3 linked regions of the Ovis aries genome follow. The protein of the gene in region 1 purifies or fractionates together with the protein of each later gene. This does not show direct contact. Links are inferred from orthologs where the notes say so. Each region holds a gene or a part of one and is shown on either strand. Other genes may lie near its edges.

Evidence for each region. The genes of interacting proteins can lie anywhere in the genome.
Region 2: the proteins of CLTC (region 1) and MYO6 purify together in Homo sapiens (affinity purification with western blotting; 4 studies listed by BioGRID and IntAct, with this or other methods). This does not show direct contact. The link is inferred for Ovis aries from reciprocal best matches to the Homo sapiens genes CLTC and MYO6.
Region 3: the proteins of CLTC (region 1) and PTPN23 purify together in Homo sapiens (affinity purification with mass spectrometry; 3 studies listed by BioGRID and IntAct, with this or other methods). This does not show direct contact. The link is inferred for Ovis aries from reciprocal best matches to the Homo sapiens genes CLTC and PTPN23.

Annotation. Positions count from the first base shown.
Region 1 is NC_056064.1:10,330,805-10,336,245, reverse strand, and holds part of CLTC (clathrin heavy chain 1), read right to left. Parts: intron 4,677-5,441; coding exon 4,551-4,676; intron 3,929-4,550; coding exon 3,786-3,928; intron 1,426-3,785; coding exon 1,191-1,425; intron 1-1,190. UniProt on the Homo sapiens protein: Clathrin is the major protein of the polyhedral coat of coated pits and vesicles. Two different adapter protein complexes link the clathrin lattice either to the plasma membrane or to the trans-Golgi network.
Region 2 is NC_056061.1:2,585,885-2,592,084, forward strand, and holds the start of MYO6 (unconventional myosin-VI), read left to right. Parts: upstream 1-2,166; 5' UTR 2,167-2,384; exon of another isoform or gene 2,385-2,522; intron 2,523-6,200. UniProt on the Homo sapiens protein: Myosins are actin-based motor molecules with ATPase activity. Unconventional myosins serve in intracellular movements. Myosin 6 is a reverse-direction motor protein that moves towards the minus-end of actin filaments.
Region 3 is NC_056072.1:52,286,620-52,292,616, forward strand, and holds the start of PTPN23 (tyrosine-protein phosphatase non-receptor type 23), read right to left. Parts: upstream 4,035-5,997; 5' UTR 3,940-4,034; coding exon 3,856-3,939; intron 1-3,855. UniProt on the Homo sapiens protein: Plays a role in sorting of endocytic ubiquitinated cargos into multivesicular bodies (MVBs) via its interaction with the ESCRT-I complex (endosomal sorting complex required for transport I), and possibly also other ESCRT complexes.

The DNA.
Region 1 (5,441 bases):
CACACAAATAGGATACTCACATGGTCTTAACTGTCTCCTCACAGACTACTTAATACCTCCAAGGGGAAACACATCTATAAGGGGAAATTTATTTCTATAATGGAGAAGCTGACAAGTTAATGAAAAGTGACCCTCAAAATGAAGGACTAAAGACATAAGGTGCTTTTGCATGTTACAGCATAAGAAAAACATCACTTAAGTAATGCACTTTGGATGGAAACATACAATCTAAATCTAATCAGGAGGAACAATAAGAGAAATTCAAAGCGAAGAACATTCTATTTTTTAAAGCGATTTTTCACTAATAAATATCCAGAATAGGTAAATCCAGAGACAGAAGGCAGTTTGGAGGCTGTCAGGGGCTGGAAGGAGGTAGGGAATGTGGGACAACTGCTTAGTGAGTACTGGATTTCCTCGTGTGGTGATGAACACTTGGAATAAGAACTCCGAACAAGAGAGATATAATGGTTACACAACACTGTATGTGTACTAACTGCCACTGAATTACTCACTTTCAAATGGCTAATGTTATGTTACCTTCAATAAAAAAAGAGAAAAAGACTATTTTTCCAATTATGTCTGTCACTAAAAGACAAAGGCTGAAGAAGTGTTTCAGGTTAAAAGAGACATGAAAGATATGACACGTACAAGCAGTATGTAATCCTAGACTAAAGGGAAAATTTTCTTTTAAAAAACATTCTCAGGTCAATTGACAAAATCAGAACGAAACAGATTTTTAACAGTATTCTACCAGTATCAGACTGACTGAGGTTGCTATCCATAATGTGGTCATGAAAGAGAATACCCTTATTCCTAGGAAATACTCACTGAAGGGTTATAAAGCCATGAGGTACGCAACTTATTCTCATAAGGTTAAAAGGTTAGATGTGCCTATACATATACACGTATATGTAAAAAATATATACATGTATGTGTACATATGAGTGTATGAGAACATACGCGATAAAACCGGGGCGTAAATGTCAATGGGTGAATATAAATGTAATCAACTACTTTGGCCAGTTTAAGTTCATAATTATCAGCAGTTTTTTTTAAAAAAAGCGTGTACCTTCTAAAAATGCTCCATATTACCTAAAACCACTCTGAAACTCTCAAAATTCACTAGTCTAACATTATGTAACAGGTTTTAAAAATGCTGTCTTCTCTATATGTCAGCTGGCAGTACTCACATTGATAAGCTCCAGATCACACTGGCCACGCTCATAAGCAACACAGGCCAGATGCGGATCTCTCTTCTCACAATACTTTCCAACAACACGACTGTCATAGTAAGGATTTTCCCGAAGAAACCGCTCTGGATTGTTATTACTGTCTATGTAGATTTTGGCTAATGCATTATGAGTAGCAGGCTCTTCACAGCCCTCATGAATTCTGGCCTCCAGCCAAGGCAGAAGCAGTTTCAATCTAGTAAAAAAATAAAACAAGAAAAGAAACACACAAAAAAACCCACATATACATATACTATATTATAAATAACACACTCTTGACATGCTATGTACCTTATGGTCTATAAAGTGCTTTCCCATACCCTATTTTGAATTCTCAACATTTCTATCAGAAACTGAGAAATTAGGACTCAGAGATGGTTAAAGGATTTGTCCAATGTTACACAGAAGGTATATAAGACTGTCCTTCATACTCTCCCAGACCTATCTGCTACATTATCTAGACAGGATATGGAGAGAAGAGACTACAGATTCACAGATTATTCTTTTTCATATGGGGCAAATGGCTGGACCTCTGAGTAATATTGCTTAGGAGTAGGACAGAGATGTGGTATGAGAAAACAAGCCACATTATCTGCGGTTCCTTTTAATTTTACCACAATTACCATGCAACATTACATACAGCAAAAAGAAGCAGTAACGTAAGTAAACACATAACTGGGAACAAAATCTGGTAAAATTCTAGCAGTCATAAAATCAATCACTCCACCAAGGGCCATGGTTTTGCTAAGTTATAGCTTATTTTCCAATGGTTCAGATGACCAACACTCTTACCATGGTTTAAATAACATGTTAAATAGTTACAAGAAATCCACGGAAAGAGGCGCCTGGTAGGCTATAGTCCATGGTGTCACAGAAGAGTTGGATACGACTTAGCAACTATACAATAATCACTTTAAATCAGTCTCAAGCTTTAAAAAAATAAAACTCAGTATTATATTCTACATCTCCATTGTCCTTAAGTGCAGAATTTTTCAAACATTTTCTGAAACATTTAGCTTGAAACATTTAGATATAAATTATGTTATAAATTTCCATTAGTAGAACACTTGTACCAACTCAGGTTAAAATTAAACCCTATTCTTGAGATGGTTTCATTGCTAGAGGAACTTCCTACTTAACCTCATTACTTCTCACTAACCTCATTTACTATGTCAGCACTTTGTGAACACACAATGTCCTGGCTAAAAAAAAGACTTCATGATCTAACTATCAGAAGCACTCATATTATGTTCTCTTCTATTGGAAATTCCTAACTCATATTATATCAAGGTTCAACTTAAAAATAAGTTTAACTCAGAGTTATACAGGGAATGTTTTTCTCTTGTCATACTTGATTATTTACCAGAGAGTAATTAGTTACTAGGTATCATACCTAAAAGGAGGCTTTTTACATAGTTTACATTAAAAACACATAGCTGTGTGGTTTGACTTAATGTAATTATAAACATGCAAAAAGAAGGTGAACACTCATTACTAGAGAAATGCAAATCAAAACCATAGCGAGACATCATCTCACATTTATAAGAATGGCCGCCATCAAAAAGTCTACAAACAACGAATGCTGGACAGGGTGTGGAGAAAAGGGAACCCTCTTACACTGCTGGTAGGAATGCCAAGTGGTACAGCCACTACAGAGAACAGTGTGGCGATTCATTAAAAAAGTGGAAACAGAACTGCCGTATGACCCAGCCATCCCACTGGTGGGCATACACATCAAGGAAACCAGAACTGAAAGAGACACGTGTACCCCAATGTTCACTGCAGCACTGTTTACCACAGCTAGGACATGGAAGCCACCTAGATGTCCATACGCAGATGAATGGATAAGGAAGCTGTGGTACATATGCACAATGGAATACTACTCAGCTCTAAAAAAGAATTCATCTGAGTCAGTTCTAAGGAGGTAGATGAAACTGGAGCCTATCATACAGAGTGAAGTAAGTCAGAAAGAGAAATACCAATACAGTAAAGACGGTAAAGATGCTATATGCAAGGTGGCAAAAGAGACACAAGATGTAAGGAACAGGCTTTTGGACTCTGTGGGAAAATGCAAGGGTGGGAAGACTTGAGAGAAAAGCACTGAAGCATGTGTATTACTGTATGTAAAACAGATGACCAGTGCAAGTTCAAGGCGTGAAGCAGGGCACTCAAAGCTGATGCTCTGGGACAACCCAGAGGGATAAGGTGGGGAGGGAGTTGGGAGGGGGGTTCAGGAAGGGGACTCACATGTGCACCCATGGGTGATTCATGTCGATGTATGGCAAAAACCACCACAGTATTGTAAAGAAATTATCCTCCAATTAAAATTAATTAATCAAAAAAAGGTGAATGACTAGATTAACAGATATTCTATATGACAGCCGTATACAGCAAGTTACAGCTAGCTTATCACTTCTAAATTAGGCATCTCTAGGGAATTAAGATCCATGAGTACTGAGTAGTTTTAGGCAACGGACAGGTTATACTTCTATTTAATACAATGCTAGGAGAGACTAATAATTTATCCTACTTGTGAATATTAAAATAGTACTACACCTGTTTCTTTTTTCAACTTCAGCAACAAGCTCATCAGTAGAGAATTGACCTCTTACAACAAGAATCAAATTTTTAATGACATCTTCAGAGCAATCAACATCAAGTAATCCCCCAATAACCACCGGCAGTCGACTTGGATTCACCTATGGTTTTAAAAAAAAAAAAGAATGGCATTATGTTACCAAGAAACAAAACTGAAAAGAGTTCTTAAAAAAAAAAAAGCAAAAAGCAAGAAAAACGCATTTTCCTCTTCAACCTGTTTTAAAAGTCAGTAATAAACAGATTCTAAATTTGACACTAGACAAAGGAATTTAGTAGGAAGTCTGCCTTATTACTCCTAAGGAGAAATAAGTCCAAAGAAGCGAAAGGAACAGAATGACTGAAAATATTATCTGGTAAAAAGGCCTCCATCGTAGCAAAACTGCCTTCTGGAGTTAGAATGCAAAGTTTCTAATACCTTTATTTAAGATGGTTTTAATACTGGGCTTTGGAGGCTGTGGCCTCTACATGGATACCTCAGGGACTATCCGGTAAGTAAGGCGTAGGCCACTCAACTTTTCAACTGCTGCAGTTCTGTTCTGTTTTACATACTTGGAATGCATGTAAAATTTTAATCCAAGAAAGGATTCTACTGGGGAAAAAAAATGGAAAGCCAATGCAGCACACCACTCTTACTGAGCACAGGGTTTCAAAAGGATGAAGATGCCCAGTGTAAGAAGTAAAATCTGTAAGATTATATTTTCAAGTTATCTAAGTATTACTTACCTTCTGTACATATATTTCTATATACTTTTGAAGATTATTTCTATATAAATAGAGCACCAAATCGTGGACAAAGTCAAATCGATCGCACACAATGATAAGTGGTAACTGATCTGTTAGCTTTGCTTCCTGGAGGGAAAAAAAAAGAAACCTTAATTTTCTTCTTCTGTGAGGTTATCAGTGTAAAATGAGAATCGGTTCCACACTTGTGGGAAAGGGTCACATAAACTTGGTTTTTCTTTTAAAGAAAGAAATGTCCCAATAGTTGCAGAGCGTCCAACTCAGTTTCCATGAATTTTTATGAAGTAATATCCAGAGTCATAGCAAAATACCAGGTCCTTCCCACATATACCCTTTACAACAAAAGAGTAACATGATTTATAAGTCTCCAGCAGCACTCAGGATATAAAATCATCACACCGGGACTTTCATTAATACCATCAGCTGAATCTGTAGTTGCTTTAAGAGCTAGACTCACATTCTCAAAATTAGGCATATATGGCTCACATTTGTTTCAAACTGATGACTTTCTAGAACACCCCTCCCCATTCAAATCTACATGGCCAGCTTCTAATACTGTTACAATAAATCCTACAAGGAGCAGAATGATGGTGACAGCCATAAATTTAAATACACCACATGTTGCTATTTAAAAAAAAAAAAGGTTTACAAAATACAAAGCATTTAAATCATTTTTAAATTTCGAACTGCTTTTACCATTACAAATATCAAGCTATAATCCTACTTACAGACTGACACAGATGTTACAGACAGGTAGGTAACACCTGTACTGGGCATTTACCTGATACATGTCCTGTTACATTCCAAAGACATGAGGTACAGCACAAAAAACAACAGTTTCCATCAGGAATTCATTTACACACAGTGAAACAT
Region 2 (6,200 bases), on another chromosome or scaffold:
GAAGACCTGGGTTTGATTCCTGGGTCAGGAAGATCCTCTGGAGAAGGACGTGGCAACCCACTCCAGTATTCTTGCCTGGAGAATCCCATGGACAGGGGAGCCTGGCAGGCTACCATCCATGGGGTTGCAAGAGTCGGCTCGACTTAGCGAGTAAACCACCAAGGAGTTTGGACTTTATACCAAGGGTAGTGGAGTGCCTCCACAGGAGTTTAAAGAGAGGAGTACCTAATCAGGCTTTCATTTTATAAAATGCAAATCTGATGGTACTGTACAGACTGGATTAGGAGCAGACAAGATTGCAGCCTGGGAAATGCCGCGTGAACGGCCTGAAATAAGACAGCAGCTGCTAGGAGAAACTGGATACACCAGAGAGGCAGGGCTGCTGTTTAGGCACTAAGCTGAGTCAGACTCTGTGTGACCCTATGGTCTGTAGCCCACCAGACTCCTCTATCAAATGGGATTTTCCAGGCAACAATACTGGAGTGGGTTGCCATTTCCTTCCCCAGGGAATATTCCCCACCAGGGAGCCAATCCTCCTCTCCTGTACTGGGCGGATGGAGTCTTTACCTTTGAGGCACCAGGGAAGCCAGAGAAACAGGGAGCTAGGGGCAAAGAGACAGTAATGAATTGCAAGTGGAGGAGGAAGGGGAGGAAGAGGGAGAGAGAGAGAAAATCAAGTCACTACTCACAGTAAGTTGTGTGTATGGGCTTCTATTGGTCTGTCAAAGCCTTTTAATCTTAAATCCAAAATGAAGTCAAAGCAGTGAACTGAAACCATCCACTCCTTTTCGTTTTGAAATCTAATTAAGTTTTACCTCCTGGCAATCTGGAATTAAATTTCTGAGATTGCTGTCAATTATTTCCTTTCTTGGTTTCTCTTCCTCTTTCTTACTTTCCTATTTTATTCTTAACATCTTATGTTTTAACTCTATGCTAAAATACCTCATCATAACTTAGCTTTCCCCCTAGAACTGTGGAACATCTAAATAACTGAAACTTGTCCCCATCACAATCTTGTAGATTTCCCAAACTTGTCCTTGATCAGAATCTTGTAGGTTTCCTGAAGCCTTCCCCTTGCTACTTGGAATGTTTCCGGGTTAATGTTCACAGGGTAATTGCTGTGAGTACGACTAGCTTTTTCTCCGCGGAGACTCTCAGCATTATAGTCAGCATATCATTTTCTTAAAAAAACAAAACAAAACAAAAAAACTTCTTTTTGTCGTAAAGGCGAAACATATTTTCATCATATTAAACTTTCGAATACGACTCACAGGTATGTCACTTGTACAAACAGAAAAACAAATAAACAGATTATATCTGGGTTCCACTAAGTGTATACGGCGGTGGCAGAAGAAATGCAAAATTTCCATCTCAGACCCCCGTTCCCAAAAGCAGAACAGCAAGTTTGTTGCACGGGGAGGTGACCACCCTCGTTGAGCAGCGCAGCCCTAGGCTGCGGGGGAGTCCGCCTCCCCCCGCCTCCGCCCAGCGGCCCGCCGCCCCCCACTACCCCCCCACCCTCTCCACAACCCAGGGTCCTCGCCCCGTCCCCGAACTACTTTCTCCGTCCGGGAACTGATTCCTGCTGCGACGGACTGCACCGTCCCTGCAGCCACAGTCCGCAGGGGGCTCTGCAGGCGCCGGGAACCACAGCCCCGCGAACCAGGCGGTTTTGCGGGGGCAGGAACTAGGGCTCCGGGCCAGGCCAGGGGAGGCTCCTCCGGGAGCAGCCGAGCGCCCACCAGGTCCGGGAGGCTCGGCGCCGCGGGCTGGAGAGGAGGGGCGGGGCGGCTCTGCGCCGAGCGCGCCCCCTCCCGGCGCGCCCCCGCTTCTGGCGCGCGCGCCCTCCTCCCGGCGCGCGCCCCCCTCTCCCGGTGCGCGCCCACCCCGCGCGTGCCCCCTCCTCCCGACGTGTGCCCCCTCCTCCCGGCGCGCGCGCGCCCTCTCCCGGTGCGCGCCCACCCCGCGCGCGCCCCGTCCTCCCGGCGCGCGCGCGCCCTCTCCCCGGTGCGCGCCCACCCCGCGCGCGCTCTGTGCTCCCGGCGCGGGCCCCCTCCCCGGCGCGTGCCCCCCTCTCCCGGCGCGCGCGCCCGCTCCGCCCGCCGGGCCCGCGGCCTCCCCGCCCCCTCGGGCGCTCCGTAGCCGTGACGTGCGCGCGGCGGGGCCGGGGACTCGGCAGGGCGCCGGCCGGCGGGTGGAGACGGACCCGGGATCTGTCCGAGCAGGAAGCGAGCCGGAGACCGGTCGCCGCCGCCGCCGCCCCGTCCCGGTGCCGGCGCTCGCCGTCGCTGTCTCTTCGCCCTCGTCAGCCCCAGACCCCACCCTCCAGCCTCGCCGGCGACAGGTAGCCCCGCCGCCGCGCACCTGCCCTCGCGTCCGCACCGGTGAGTGTCCGGGGCGCCCGCGCCTCGCCCTCTGCAGCCTCGCTGTCCGAGCCCTGCCTCGCTTCGAGGCCTCCGCCCGCCGCCCGGGGTCGACGAGCCGGCTCGGTTCTTCTCCCCAGGACGCCGGGGGTGAAGCAGGTGATGCGTGGGCCCGGGCGGCGGCGGTCCCGGGAACTCAGGGCTGGGTCTCACTTCCACAGGACAATGAGAGTCTCCTTTCATGGGTTTGTCATCGCTAAGATACCTTTGTGTATCACCTCTGGCTCCCAGGTTGAAACAGAGCACTCAGGTGTCCAGCTCAGACCTGGACGCTCCGTGACAGTTTTCTCTTTCGTCCACGAGCTTAAAATTCAGTGCAGAAAGAGTACTTTTTGTTCTGGGATGCGAAAATCAGCTGCTATTACTATTAATCATACAGGAGCCCGGATTGGGACTATGTAAACTTGCATTTTTAGTCTTCGGTTAGTCTAGTGTTTTGGGTTTTTAAATTTATGTATCTGCTACTGAACAAGAGCTTTTCATATTTGTAAGTTTCCGAAACTCTTTAAACGATTAAAATTACTCAAACTCTGGGATAAGGAAATACTTTGAGAGGGTTATTGTTATTAGAGCATCCGTATCAGAAATATTTCTATACAGTTTTAGAAAAAGTGTTACATTTTATCCGGCGTGAAGTTTGTAGTGGAGGAATGCTTAAATCCTAATCTACAGATCTGAGGAGCTAGGAACACTGCCCCAATTTAATAGGCTGCTGTTCATGCTAAGTAAGTTTTCCTGGTGGTTGTGCTCTGACCGTGTAGATGCAGTATAGGTAAATATCGTCTGGGTTTGAGAGTTTTAAAGTGTTATTCTTAAGATTTAGCTGAACACTGTTCACACCATAAAATGTGAATCTTGAACTTGGTCATGGTACAAAGGTTGGCAGCAAAAGGACGCTTCTCTACAAATTAACTAAACCTCTTAGATTCCTTGGCTTGTGGTTTGCCATTGAAAATTGTTTACTGAAAAAACTACCTTGGTGTCTTTTAATATTAGTTTTAGTAACACCACAACTTGGTCTATAGCCAGAGCTTGAAACAAAGCAACCTTTTAAAATAACTCATTGACTTTTAAATATCCAGCTTAATTACTTGCATAGTGGTAAACAAAAGTTATTTTAGTCTTATGCACACTTGCCCAGTTGCACTTGTATGTTCTGTGCGACATGCTATTCATTGTTGGCTTTTAAGTTACATTTTAGTTTCCAAAAACTGACTTTAAGAGGGAGTAATGGAAGTGGTGAGCAACGTTAAGAAAAGATAATGATTAAAAACTCTCTATATAATATTTTAAACTATGTATAATATATATATTTTTTCATTAGTGCCTGGAAACATGGGCAAGAAAAATGTAATAAGGTATTGCAAAATTTAATGTAAATTCATGCAAAGTCTTAAAAATATCATCAGTCGTAACCCGTGGAGCTCATCTGAAATGGATTTTTTCCTCTGTTTATGTTTGTGTGATCAAGTTTTAAAATAACAGTGGCCAGGAAATCTGAGAGAAGCTGAGGCCCTTTTCTCATCCTGTTGTGACTTTGCCTGGAGACTGTGGTAGATTATGTAGTCCATTGTTTAGATAACCCAGCTGTCTCCGGATTCTCAAATACAACTTTCTTTTCTTTTCGTTAATTAATTTTTATTGCAGTATAATTGCTTACAATGTTGTGCTACCTTCTACTGTACAGCAAAGTGAACCGGCCATACATAATACATATACCCCTCTTTTTTGGATTTTCCCTCCCGTTTAGGACATCACAGTGCATGAAGGAGAGTTCGCTGTTCTGTACAGTATATTCCCATCAGTTCTCTGCGTTATACATGGTATCAGTTGTGTAGATGTGTCAGTCCAATCTCCCAATAAAACGCAGCTTTTCAAATAACATTTTAAAGAAATGATCATGAGGTTTGAATAAATATAAGCACCCCAGACTTTTTTTCTAAGAAAACTTTACAGTCTGCCGATATGTCTTTTGTGTCAAATGTCAGTTTTACAAGGATATTTAACCTTTGTGAATTTTTTATTTCTATATATTAAAACATTTTAAGTAAAAGATTGAAAAAAAGTATGACAACTGTAATAAATTCCATACAGTTTATCTGCGATGCTTATGAGATATTTGGTATTAGTATAATTGGTGACTGGCCCTTTGGTAGGATAAAATTGTCGTTTATTAGGCATCTGGCATGAGCAGAACAGTGAGGAACTTGATCTACAAAATAATTTTCAAGGTTGGTGGTCTTGTGTGTGTGTGCATGCTCGGGTGCTCAGATGTGTCCGACTCTGTGACCCTCTGGGCTGTAGCCCCCCAGGCTCCTCTGTCCATGGAATATTTCAGGTAAGAATAGTGGAGCAGGTTGCCACTTCCTACTCTAGGGGATCTTCCTGACCCAGGGATCGAACCTGCGTCTCTTGAGTCTCCTGCATTGGCAGGCGGATTCTTTACACTAGCACCACCTGTCCTAAATTGTCCCTTGAGGAAATTTAGGCTCAGAGAGTAAATATTTGCTCAAGGTAATGAGGTCCTGTCAGTTCCTGAGAGATTCTGGATTCACGCTCAAGTCTTCTGACCGTGAAACCTCAGTCCTTTCCACCAGAGTGGGTTACCTTGATCTCAGGTGCATTTGGTAGACTCTTCTGGTAAACCTGCAGAACTGGTATTGTTCTAAAGAATGTAACTGCAGAGTGAAGGAGGTATAGAGGAGCAATGTTGAGAAAGACTGGACATGGGACTGTGGAACTAACTTTGAATTCTGTTTCTTCGTTCTTAGGTGGACAGCCTTAAACAGTGATATGATGTTGCTTTATCATTTTGGGGGTAAATTCCAGAATATTACATGTATTGTGCACTTTTAATTTTGGTGGGTTATAGGAACTAGAATCAGACTGCAATGTAGTACTGGTTTTCATTGTAGCTAAAATGAATAGCATAATATTCTTGGTTAGGATGGAACTTCAAATGAGGTAGACTATTGCCCATAAGTACAGTAGTTGCCTTTTAAATAATACATAATTAACTGTGTAATACTAAGGGGGGAAATGGTTTTTAGATCATGATTAAATGGGGACCTGTTCGATTAGAACAGGTTTTTTAATGGCCTGTGTTTATTTCAGGAATGCCCCTCGAGCTGTAATAGACGTAGAGAACAAAAATGAGCACATGAAGTCCACCTTCTGTAACAAATGAGTCGTTTCGGCAGTAGGATGTGGCTGAGTAAATGAGCAGAAAAATGGTGGGAAGGCGGAGTTGGGTGACTTCTGTTACAGGTGTTTATTTGTTTTAAACTGTGGGGAATTTCGCATCTGGAAGATACTCATATTCAACTGTAAATACAAAACCATCATCCAAAGGCTAAGTGTAAATTATTAATGGATGATCTGTAACACATCTGCTTAGGGGTGTGTGTGTATGTGTGTGTGTGTGTGTGTGTGTGTGTGTGTGTGTGTGGATAATCAAGAACTAACTAAAGCTTAATAAGCTTAATTTTGTTTTTGATAATAAGCTTAACTGTTTTTGAGGCATATATAATGTTAAGAGGAACCAGGATGGTCTGCATTTAAAATAGTTACACTTTTATTTGACACATTTCAGTTCAGTTCAGTTCAGTCGCTCAGTCGTGTCCGACTCTGCGACCCCATGAATCGCAGCACGCCAGGCCTCCCTGTCCATCACCAACTCCCAGAGTTCACTCAGACTCACGTCCATCGAGTCAGCGATGCCATCCAGCCATCTCATCCTCTGTCTCCCCTTCTCCTCCTGCACACAATCCCTCCCAG
Region 3 (5,997 bases), on another chromosome or scaffold:
GAGAACATAAAAGCCACGAAACAATCTCCCCACCAATGTCCATCTATGCATAAACATAAGGATCTGCCAACATGTTCAGGGGGTTTACAGACACGCTGAAGCCCATTTATGGGCTCTTGGTTTACAATCCTCGCTGTGATCTAGCCAATCCCTCACCCCGCCTGTCCCCCAATTCACAGACATAAAATGTGACCTGAGCTATAGGGTAAAACTTGACTATCTAAATAGGAACATGTTCTTTCTCCGATTAACTCCCTTCTCATAGGAGGCTTCTGTTTGCTCACCCCGAGGCGACAGTGAAAGTGGAGCCCAGAGGCCCTGTGGGACAGAGGCCGAAGGGATCTGAGTGACATCTGAGTCCCAGAAACAAGGCTTCAGCTGCCACCGCTGGGAACACCTGCCCTGCGGTCACGCAGTGGTGACGGGGTGAGAGATGATGCCTCTGATCGCAGCAAACTGTCCCCGAAGGAGGCTGTCCACCTGTCTTATTCCTCCTCCAAGATCTGCAGCAAACACAGAGCTCCTGCCCACGGGCCAGACACTTGCCAAGTGCCCAGTAAGTCACTCAGCCCTAATAACAACCCAAAGAGGTAGACAGCGTTGTCGCCCCCATTTTACAGCTGAGGAAACTGAGGCAAGGGAGGTAAGACACTCGCCAAGGTCACAGCACTAACCACCAACAGAGCACCAACTGGAAACCCGGGGTCTGGGCTCCAGAGCCCATATTCTTGACCACACATCAGACCAATCCATTTCTATTTTTTAAACACAGTTCTCATAAAACACCAAAAAAAAGGGAAGTGAAAACAAATCTCTGGCCACAAGGTGAGTCAATGGAGCAGAGGCTTTGGAGAAGCTGGGCTTCTTTTTTCCTGAGCAAACAATGAGACCTGTGAACAGTGTCATGTTGAAAGCATGTCCAGGGTTCAGAGCCACTGGGAGGAAAAAGCAGGGAAAGAAGTTATAAGTTACAAATACACAGGCTGGAAAGACTTTTTCCAAAGACAAACACCAAAACAGAGGAAGTCCTGGCTGTGACCCTAGGTTGCTATGAGACCAGGGCTTGGTTTTGCACCTGTAATATGGTGTTCATAGTAGCTGCTTTTGAATTGTGGTGAAGACTCTTGTGAGTCCCCTGGACAGCAAGAAGATCAAACCAGTCAATCCTGAATATTCATTGCAAGGACTGATGCTGAAGCTCCAATACTTTGGCCACTTGATATGAAGGGTCGACTAGCTGGAAAAGACCGTGATCCTGGGAAAGACTGAGGGCAGGAGGAAAAGGGGCGACAGGAAGAGAAGGCTGGATGGCATCACCGACTCAATGGACATGAGTTTGAGCAAGTTCTGGGAGATGGCGAAGGACAGGGAAGCCTGGCGTGCTGCAGTCCATGGGGTTGAAAAGAGCTGAACAAGACTTACCTACTGAGCAACAATTACCCGCTCTAACTCACAGAGCTGTCATAGGACTTGAGCTATTTCCTAAACAGAGAAAGAGGATGCTAAGCTGAAAGTGTTGTTTACAATATGCCAAGGCCTGTACTGGGGACTCAAATGCATTAACTCTTTTTTTTTAAGTATATCTTGTTTTTCTCTTTTATTTTATTTTTGGCTGCATTAGGTCTTTGCTGCTGTGCTCCGGCTTTTTGTAACTGCTCTGCTACAATGCGTAGGCTTCTCATTGTGGCGGCGTCTCCTGTCGCAGAGCACAGGCTCTGGGCCCAGGGCTCCAATAGTTGCACCACGTGGGCCCTAGAGCCCAGGCTCAGTAGCTGTGGCACACGGGCTTAGCTGTCCCAAAGCATGTGGAATCTTCCTGCACCACGATCAGACCCATGTCCCCTGCATTGGCAGGCAGATTCTTAACCACTGGACCACCAGCAAAGTCCCTGCGTTAACTCTTGATGCTCATAAGCTTACAAGCATAGTATTAGTTCTGTTACAGGTGAGAAAAATGAGGCCCAGATTAGTGAGGTAATCATCTGTAACAGCTGACGTCACTCAGCTATTAAGTCGAAAAGGTGGGACCTAAACCAAAGTTGGCCTGATTCCAGTGTCTATTTCTGTGACATTACTCTGCCCTTTTACCAAGAAACCAATGGCCCAGAATTCTGTAGGCAGATGAAAGTGAAAGTCACTCAGTCATGTCCAACTCTTTGTGACCCCACGGACTATACAGTCCCTGCGATTCTCCAGCCCAGAATACTGGAGCGGGTAGCTTTTCCCCTCGCCAGGGGATCTTCCCAATCCAGGGATCGAACCCAGGTCTCCCACATTGCAGGGGGATTCTTTACCAGCTGAGCAACCAGGGGTAGATGAGATCACCAGATCCTGGCATTCTTTTGCAGTAGAAAAATGGAAACCAGAGATCAGCAATGGCAGTTCTAGAACTCTGAGCCAAACTTCCCAGGGTAAAGATTTTGTTTCACTTTCTCTGGTACTAACATGGTCTCATTCCTCTGTGCATTCTTTCCCCCCCCCATGGATGATGGGAGTGTTTAGCTTCTGTTCTTAATTTGATATACATCTTGGAATTAAAACAGTAGATGGAAAGGAGACCAAACTTTGGGAAAGAAGTAAAATTCTGGAACTTTAGATCAATTAACCTAATTTATTGGATGTCTCCATTGGTCCATTGAGGCCTGGGGTTTGATTCCTGGTCAGGGAACTAAGATCCCATAAGCTGGGAAGCTCAGCCAATTTTTTTTTTTTTAATCTAATTTTCTGGTTTTACAAATGAGGAAAAAGATGCCCAAAGAGATTAAATGATGGACTCAAAGGAATACAAACTGTTAGTGTGTGAAGGAAGGCAGCGGCAGTGTGAACCGAGAAAGGGAGAGCTTCTTGGAAAACTTCTTCCCCGACCCATTTTCTTTCTTCTATTTTTTTTCTTCTCCACCACCTTACTCACTGGGGCTCCGTCAATATTCAGGCAGCAGCCACATTGCCTCCTGGTTGTTCCTTTTCACTTCTGCTCTGTCCTTCAACGGTACCAGACAGTCCTTCCCAAGGCAGATGTCTCACAGGGTACCTGATGCCCAGTCGACACACCTGGTCCTGCTTTGTACCAGCCACACCTGATCTCCCCACAGCGATCCCTTGCCTCCCTCAAAGCCAAAACTGCCTGTCTCTTCCATCCAAATGAAGAGTAAACAAAGGACTGCTTGGGTCGCTCTGGAAGCTACAATGCTATTTATCCCCTCTGCGCAGTCGCGAAAGCAGTAACGCTCCCCTAAAAGTTGGATCTTTCGGTCCAAAGGGGCTCCAGATTACGGTTCTTCTTCTGAGACCAGACAGAATTGCACCAAGTGTTAGAGCGACTCCAACCGCAGAGGTCAGGCTGGCCGGGGCCTTAAAACACATCCTGAGCCATCCTCGGCGTCCGTCCCAGTCCGGTCGTAGACGGACAGCACAACGAAGGCCAGGCACAGCCTTTCCACCCTGACGGTTACGGAGGGCCACCCACCGATTCTCCCAGGGCGGTGCTGGCGTGGATGAGGGGAGGAGCAGACCTAGGTTCAAAGCGTCACACCGAGGAAGTGAGGTGCCTCGGCGGGGATCGCGGAGGGCCGGGGGACGGAATCGGAAAGCAGGTTCCGATCAGACAGCGGGGGCTACCCGGGGCTGGCGGGGTCGGGGGGAGGGGACGGAGACGCTCTTCGAGCGCGCAGGGGTCAGACAAGGTGCGATGGGGGTGCGCCAGGCGAAGGAAAGCCAGTGGAGGCCCCTCCTGGCCTCACCGGCCCCTGCGACAGGGCCTGGGGAGATGATAGACGCGCAGGGGGCGTCACGCGCAGGCGGACGGAGAGACGCGGGAGGAAAGGGGAGGGGGCGGGGAGCAGGAGCGGCCCTCACCTTCTTTACGGCTGGCTGAAAGTGGAAGTCACCGGCCTCTTTCAGGTCCAGCCAGATCATGGGCATGCGGGGCACGGCCTCCATGGCCTCAGGCACCCGCCGGCCTCCCGGCCGCCCCCCAAGCTTTCGCAGCTGCAGGCTCAGCCACGCACCCCGCCCCTCCACGCCGGAAGTCACTTGTCACGCGGGGATGAAAAAAATGCCCCTACTGCCTGCTGGGAGAGGCTGTCCCCTCCTCTGTAGGCTTTTGCGCATGCTCATTTCCCGCTGCGCATGCTCAGTTTCTTGCACGCGGGCACGTGTAGAGGGCAAACCTCCAGCCCGAGGCGAAAGGGTTTCTGGGAGTCGTAGTCTATCTGCATCTAATTGCTAAGCAGGGAGGTAACTGGTTTCTTCTTCCTGGGCAAAGTAGACCGCAGGGACCTGGCTCGGGCTCCAGGCTCTCCCCACTCAGGGGAAGGACATTAGAGAACGTAGCCATAGACTTGTAGACCCTAAGTAGTGTCGAGGGCCTTGGTAGATGGGGTCAGATGCTCTGGTAGAGATAACGTGGTGGCGGGCCACCCCCAGAAGCAGTGACTTAAAAACAGCCTTGGAGTAGGGGCTGCCTGGCCAAGGAGACAGGGCTAACAAGCAAAGGCGTGGCACCCCAGGTGTCGAGTTTTGGAACAGAGGAGTGACTGGTTGGAGACTGGCACGCTCGGCTGAGCCTGTAAGACCGGGCACTGCCTAAGAGACGGCCAAGTCCGTTTTTGATGATGGGGAGAGAACTGGTAAACGAAGTGTAAAGCGTAAGGGGAAAAAAGAGAGAGAGAGAGGCCTAGAGCGATGGGGGTGGGGATGACTATATACAGCCTCGGGAATGCCTTTCAGTCTGGAAGGGGACCAGGGAGCAGAGAACAGTTATTAGCTCTGAAGAGATGACCTGTAGAGCAAGGATTTTAAAATCATGTATATATTACCTAGCTTTAAAAACACGTAAAATGGAGAATGGTTTGTTGGGGCAAAAGTAGAAGGAAGGAAATGAGCGAGGACGTTTGCAACCATGGACTGTAGCCCACTAGGCTCCTCTGCCTCTGAAATTTTCTAGGCAGGAATACTGGAGTGAGTTGTCACTTCCCACTCCAGGAGAATCTTCCCAGCCCAGGGACTGAACCCATGTCTCTTACATCTCCTGCATTGGCAGGTGGATTCTTTAATACTGTGCCACCTGGGAAGCCCTTGGATGACCAACTGCACATTTTTTCCTCAGCAAAAAAAAAAAAAAAAAAAACTCTCATACATTCTGGCTCCTCCCTTACATCTTTAGAACAGTCCCTCCGAGCTGAGAGACTACATCGCAGGCTTAAGTCTTCACTAAGGCTTCTGAATAAAACAGAATTCTCAACTTTTAGGTTGTTCTTTCTTTTTTCAGTTGACAACTCTCTATGTCCCCTGTGCCCCAGCAGTGGAATTGCTGGGTGTGTGAATACAGGGTATTCAGGACATCTGAACAACTCCTGCCCAGGGAACACCAGAAGGTGTGTCCAGAAAGAAGGGTCACAGCCACCCAAACAGGAAGCATGGAGCCCTCCCCTGGGGCCACCTTTCTTAGATGCGAATCCAGAATCACTGCATTACAGGTGGGGAAACTGAGGCAAGGAGAGGGGAAAGAAGCTGTCCCAAACGCCATGGAGCCTCTGAGGGAAGGTCAGAGGAGAGGTCTCCTGTGGCCAGGGAAGGGAGAGGAGAAGGGTGAAGGGAAGATGGGAGCTCTCCTGGTCTCAGACCTGGCAGGCTAGAGGCCAGAGGCAGAAGAATGCCATTGTGTCTCTTCTGTCTCGGCCAACATCCGTGTTCCTGGCGCTTGCGGAGGTGGCCCCCTGCTCCCCTGGTTCAGAAAGAGCAGCGAAGAAGTAGCTGCTCCTCCCTCCAGAGTGTCCAGAGCCCTCTAGGAGCCCTTGAGGCATTGGTTACTTTCTCCCTACAGAAAAGGTTCCAAGAAGACAGATTTGCTAATATGAAGAAGGTTGGGGATCTCTGAGGCCCAGTCACGAAACCGAACCTCTCCCGAGCACCCAAGTTACTTGGCCAGCAGATGGCAGCAAGGCCACAGGGTTGTAACGAAGCAGTTGCAATCCTGGGACACCAAAGCCCCGTAGA